Linked DNA regions of Nothobranchius furzeri. Each later gene encodes a partner of the first gene's protein in a complex. Links are inferred from orthologs where the notes say so. Each region holds a gene or a part of one and is shown on either strand. Other genes may lie near its edges.

What was found. The genes of interacting proteins can lie anywhere in the genome.
Region 2: pole2 (region 1) and pole4 share a complex: the UniProt entries of both Homo sapiens proteins name them as parts of the DNA polymerase epsilon complex. The link is inferred for Nothobranchius furzeri from reciprocal best matches to the Homo sapiens genes POLE2 and POLE4.

Annotation. Positions count from the first base shown.
Region 1 is NC_091758.1:27,026,678-27,029,385, reverse strand, and holds the end of pole2 (DNA polymerase epsilon subunit 2), read right to left. Parts: coding exon 2,694-2,708; intron 2,615-2,693; coding exon 2,525-2,614; intron 2,284-2,524; coding exon 2,229-2,283; intron 2,149-2,228; coding exon 2,089-2,148; intron 2,017-2,088; coding exon 1,939-2,016; intron 1,446-1,938; coding exon 1,337-1,445; intron 1,210-1,336; coding exon 1,033-1,209; intron 931-1,032; coding exon 863-930; intron 768-862; coding exon 749-767; 3' UTR 638-748; downstream 1-637. UniProt on the Homo sapiens protein: Accessory component of the DNA polymerase epsilon complex. Participates in DNA repair and in chromosomal DNA replication.
Region 2 is NC_091748.1:55,970,047-55,973,804, forward strand, and holds pole4 (DNA polymerase epsilon subunit 4), read right to left. Parts: upstream 2,357-3,758; 5' UTR 2,235-2,356; coding exon 1,998-2,234; intron 1,805-1,997; coding exon 1,720-1,804; intron 961-1,719; coding exon 919-960; intron 778-918; coding exon 764-777; 3' UTR 546-763; downstream 1-545. Other genes in the region: serine/threonine-protein kinase NIM1, read left to right, coding at 3,710-3,731. UniProt on the Homo sapiens protein: Accessory component of the DNA polymerase epsilon complex. Participates in DNA repair and in chromosomal DNA replication.

The sequences.
Region 1 (2,708 bases):
GTTTATTCCAAAATTTTTGTCACTCCTTACCTCATATTTAAAAAAAAAATGTCTTTGAGGATGCTCAATAGTTATATTTTACAGAAAACACCCTAAAGATGAATGGAAATCAGCATTGAAAATAAGATGATTTGATTTACTAATGTTATTATATTTTTTTTTTACCTCCACTATATAAAACATCTGGGTCATCTTAATCAAAGAGTGGTAATCCATACTTTCTACTGAGGGTATTTTTGGTATATAACTTCAGAGTAAACATTTAAAACACTAAATTACAATTCATGTCTATGACCATATTAGTTAAATAGATATATAGAAATGAAAATTCAGTGTGTCGATTTGAGAAATAGTGATACCAGAAATTACCTTCAATGGAAAAACAAAGAGTCTTTAACATTGCATTAGGAATAATATACAAGTTCATCATTAAACATAAAAATTCACTAGTTGATTATTTGCACGAAGCTTTTTAAAATAGTTAAATTATTTACCTATTTTGCAAACATTTAATGAAAAAATATGAAGAAAATTTCTTATATAAATATTTTTTATGTAAATTTCAAAAACAATTGTTTATTTTCATTAAATGAGCTTCCTCAGAGAGCTCTCTATAAACATTAAAGTACAGGAAAACTCAGCAAAGAATAAAACCTTTATTTTAAATAAAAACTGTTACAAACATGTTTGATTTACTAAGATACAACACAAATATCACACAAGGTAAAAACAAAGCCCATCATTTTCTCTAAAGGTCTTGAAGTTTGCTGTGAAAAGAAAAAAATACAACTTTAACTTATGAACACGAATATTGGTTAGGACCAGTATTAAATATGCAACGATATGTCAGATTTCATCCCACCTGTCCTCCACGGTCCGGCTAGATGGATAGTACACTTTAAACGTGAAGCCACTTTTTGAAAAAGAACCCTGAGGACAAAAAATATAAACAGAAACAAATAAAATACCTTAGTGACTAAAAGTAAACACATTAACAAAAATCATGTTATTTGAGTTTCCTGCTTCTTGTACCGGGTTGAAACAGAGGCAGTCAGCGCTGGTGATGCTGAAGGGGTCGTACTTGTCTGCAAAAATTATGGCATCAGGCACCGGATAGACCCGCAGGGAGAAGTCGTAGGCCCAGAACACGGGACTGACGTACAGAGGCAGTGGGGATAAATGGCCCTGGGATAGGATGGTCTTTACGAACTAAACAGAAGAAAACAATTAAATTAAAAAGTTTTGGATTTCTATTTTTAACTCCCATCTTCTCAGAAGCATCTGATCTTTTTGGGATAATGCATGAACACGCTTTGGGGGAGAAAATGAGCCTCACGTGGTTTGGGATGTCGAGATTTTTGTTTGGCAAACGGACACAATTCCTGCACATCTTGTTGACCAGATCTTCTCTGATGATGACGATCTCTTGGCTGCAGTACTGAACTCTAAACAGGTCAGTTTAAAAAAAACAATTTAGCAACGAAAACCCTTAAAGAGCAAGTCACCCCCTACCAGTCTCACTCCACTCCCACTTCATGTTTGAAAAATGCAACATATGAGGTTGCTTGGCAGACCAAGAGGGCGGAGCAACCAACAAACACACACATACTCAGGCTCACAATGACATTGTGACATCATAATGTACCAGCTAATGTCATAGTCTTAGCCAATAGCGATGGCAGATTTAAATTTAAACGCAGTTCAGTGCAGAGTTATTAACCTAAAGACGACAGGCAGAAAATTTAAAATTTAACTAAGATGCACTAAAGTCCCAAATTATCGATTACACGTGTCTACGGCACGATTAGACACTCGTTTATATGGTTTATCAGCAAAAAAAAAAAAAAAAGTAGATTTGTGGGTGACTTGCTCTTTAAATAGGTGCAGTTTTTTTTTAATTTACTTTTCCCATTTGAAACAGTTACGTGTTCGTTTTACCTGCAGGGATTGGTCGTGAACACAGAAAAGGGGACTCTCTGTCTGAACTCTTCTGTGATGTGGTCTGCCAAGGGAGGCCTGTGGGAAAAATTCAGATTAATCCAAAGAACGAAGGAAATTTTAACAAATGAGACGTGTTTGAGAACGTACCGCGGTAGGATTGTGCCTGGACCCGGGTCTTTGGGACCGGGAACAAACACAAAGCGACTACTGCAGGTTTAGAAGGAACACTTTAGTTCAAACACACTGAAGATAAAAAATAAAAAATAAGAAAAGTGGGCCAATCCTACCTGCTGTGAATGCTGGGATATGCACTTATAACATCAGCAAGGGTCTTCAGTGAATCTGAGAAAAGACAATGTTGTTTTTATGCACTAGGATTGGGCTGATTTCAGATTTATTTTCTTTGAGCTGTCCACACTTAGTGCTCCAGTTCAGCTGCATGATTAACCTGTTAAGCGAAAGCGGGAAGATATTTGCCGACAGTGTCAAAAAGCTGTGTGTGTTGACTTTAAAGCTCAATAAAATGACTCTGAGTCCGTCTTTAGGAGGTGTAGGTGAACGGTTTCTGACCCAACGGCCTCACCTTTGAGCGCTTTAATCTGCGTTTTCCCAAAAGGAGCGGAGGAGAAGTTCCCACACAGAATGAAACAAGTGGGAGGCATGGCGGCATATCCTGTCAAAAAACAAACACATTCAAAACAAGAGACTGAGTTTTCTCACTCCTCCACCTGCAGGGGCCTGTAGCGCCGCACCTGAGAACATGGTGT
Region 2 (3,758 bases), on another chromosome or scaffold:
GGGTGGGGTCGTGTCCCCCCACCCCCCAAAACTACATCCATTTATATGATAAACTTGTGTAAATTAAGATAAGCTAATAAGAGTAGTTGTTATTAGCAGCTTTGTCATCTCTGCCAAGTTTGTTGTGACATTTGAAATCTAAATTGTTTTGCCACACCTGGAAAAACTGGGTCCTGAAATGGGACAATGATCCCAAATACAGCAGATACAGGTCCTTCTAAAAAATAAGCATATTGTGATGAAGTTCATTATTTTCTGTAATGTACAGATTAACAGACTTTCATATATATTAGATTCATTACACACAACTGAAGTAGTTCAAGCCTTTCATTGTTTCTAATATTGATGATTTTGGCATACGGCTCATGAAAACCCAAAATCCCTATCTAAAAAAATTTGCATATTTTATCCAACCAATAAAAGAAAAGTGTTTTTAAAACAAAAAAGTCAACCTTCAATTAATTATGTTATAATTGTACAATTCTGTTAAAAACTCCATTACTGGGAATTGTATATTTCTGCAGTTTCCACACAAGATGAAAATGTGTTGTTAAAACAAAAGTTTATTCCATTTTCCAGTAACATTACTCACATATTTACAAAACCATTTACACAATATCAGACAAATTCAAAGTTAGAGCTTGTCATATAAAAACATTTAATCAATCTGTGAGGTTGACTTAGAAAAAATGTTCTGTGATTCAACAATGAAACACATTTTAGACAGTTGAGGATCTTTTTAATGTGGTCTTATAAAAAATCTTTAATCCAGTGTTCCTGTAGAGGAAAGAGGTCAACATGATAAGACACACAAACACATCTGCATGTGGGTGAAGTTAAAATACCAGAGTCAAAAGATGACATGGAATAATTTGCAAAACTTTGCAGGATTGTTTCATGTCTTTTTTTATGATTTACCTTCAAGAAATGCAAACTCATCTATGGCCTCTATTGCATTGTCTGTGGAGGAAAAGTAGAAGAGTGTGCAATTAATATTTTCATTTATTATTATTATTAATATTGTTAAAACTGAATCACTTCATGCCTGTTTAAAGTGTTTTCTCCACCAGATGAAATTATAACATTATTATTAACATAAATACTGCTTTTTAGCTACTGAGTAATGAAGAAGAAACAAGCTTTTATATAGTGCCTCTCGAAATAAAAATCAGGAGGCACTTAGTGATTTCTATCAACCTAACTAAAGCTTCCTTCTTTATATATAATCACCATTTTGTTTTGAACAACATGACTTTTAAAGTCATTATATTCTCTAGCACTTCCACTTTTCATGGAGATACACAAATACGTAGCATCCAACTTCGTCCGCTTATCCGGGGTCGGGTCGCTGGGGCAGCAGCCTAAACAGAGGCCCAGACTTCCCTCTACCCAGCCACTTGGGCTAGCTCCTCCAGGGTAATCCCAAGGCGTTCCCTGGCCAGCCCAAAAACATCCAGCGTGTCCTGGGCCTTCCTTTAGGTCTCCTCCCAGTTGAACATGCCTAGAAAACCTCACCAGGGAGGTGTCCAGGGAGGCATCCTAACCAGATGCCCGAGCCACCTTAACTGGCTCCTCTTGATGTAGCAATATTTGTTTCTATAAAATTATGTTGCTAGAAGTATTCTTAATTTCGAAATACTCTTAAAAATGACTTTAAAAAATGTATCAAAATAAAAGGAATCAATTTCTGAAGTCACTTTGAAATGTTTCAGCTCTTACCCAAGTCTTTTCTTTGTAAAGTTTTCCTCTTTCCTTGCTGAGCATACACCATAGCATCTTTGGCAATCATCTCAACAAACAACTCCTGGAAAAAAGGGAAAATTAGGTCAAACTTGTAGGTTTGGTGTATTTTACCTGAAACTAACACGTGTGTTTTGCATTAAACAATGGCAATTGGTTTATATTAACTATTTTGTGGACTAAAAGGTTTATTCTAGATAAAACGTGGGGGACGTGACATGAAAACATTGACCTTCTTACTGAGTAAACCGTTTTACCGTAGCTTTAGCGATGATGAACACAGACTCCTGGCTAGCCAAGGACACGTCTGGATCCGTCTTCATCAGAGCTTTGATGCGGGCCAGCGGGAGTTTGGACAGACGGTTATGGGGCACGACGGCCGGGCCTGTCAGCTGCTGACCCCGGTCCTCTGCCTCCACAGCACGGTTCTCCTCCTCACTCCCGCACCGCTCAGCTTCGAGCTCCGCCGAGGGAACGGGCGTTGCTGATGACATTTCCTATGGCCTCACAATCGTGTTTTGCTGTTATAAAAACACTCGAATATCTCTCATTTTACACGTCCCAGACAACAACATCAACCGCCTCGAGCCAGCATGTGCTTCCGGTACATCGTGGAGCGAATGGTGTTTATTGGTCAAAAGCTCAGACCCCGCCAACAAATACTCGTCTGTGATTGGACAATTGTTAAAGGATGCCTTGTCATTGGTTAGAATTGACGTCAGTCAAAATATGTAGCAGCAAGATTCTGGAGTGAATGTACAATTTGGTGACGCTGTGTGGCGATATTTCTAGTTTTAATTCACGCATTAGAGGTTTTAATGTTGTGATTTTTATTTTTCTACATTATGAGAAATTAAAAACAGTAAAAATAAGTTGGGGTCAGCTCACAAGTGGTCCACTGGAGGGCGGTAAAAGGCGCTGAAGACACCAAACTACTGAAATCAATTCCCTGCAGTTTACTTTTTAAAGTACAATGTTGGCAGATAAGAGCCTTATATCACAATAGCAATTTTACGTTTCTGGAAAAAAGTATGTGTAAGTGAAATAGTGTCTCTTTGTTAAATCTCTGCTTACACCATCATCATCACCACCTCCATCATTCTTAGCTGATCATTGTCAAGAGATGGACAAAATCCAACCAGGTAATCAGATTACAAACATGTCTTAAAGACCTGAAAGACTCTTACTTTTCTATTTCCATGTTCAGAGAAGACATTGGCTGTATTTTTTGGACCTGAGAGTTTTAAGATCACAGCTTGAAGACATTCACTTGGCCTCCAGTACTAGTGACAGGATCCTTGGTGTTATTCTGGACCAGGATCCATCCTTATACTCTCAGATAAAACATGTTACAGTTAGGGTAAATTTGAGTAACTCATCACTTTAGTCATGCTGCTGGATTTAGATTGCTGGGGGGGAAACTGACTACATTTCCTAAATTAGCTGCCTTAAACTCTGTTTAAATACTGACTACACACAACACCCCTCTGATAGTCCAAATATATATATATATATTTTTATAAATGCCATTTTGACCTTTTACTTCCTTGACATCTGTAGGGCAATAGTTTCCATATAGGTCTAACTATCTGTAAAAATATATTTCTTAGGACAAACAATCACAAAAATTAAGATTTTCCTGAAGTTATACAGTATTACCTAATTAACGAACATCATATTCACCGTTTGTTTAAAACTCGTATGCAGATGAAGTTTATTCTAAGAACAGCTGTTTTAATATAATCACCAACAAATAACCAACATTATGTGCTATATGCTTAGGTACATAGGTGCTTTAGTCTTCAAAAGTATGTTTTCAGCATTTTTATGAGGTCAGTTTGTGCCAGAGGACATGATGATCAGGCCACTAATACACAGTATTAATAGGATTGGGAGGAGTGCTTTAGCCCTCTGAGGATCTCTTCACACGTAAGGACACAGTCCGGCGTCAAAGCCTCCGGGAACAGACATGAAGGACCCACAGCTCCCAGGTAAAACCCTTTCATTTATGTTATATT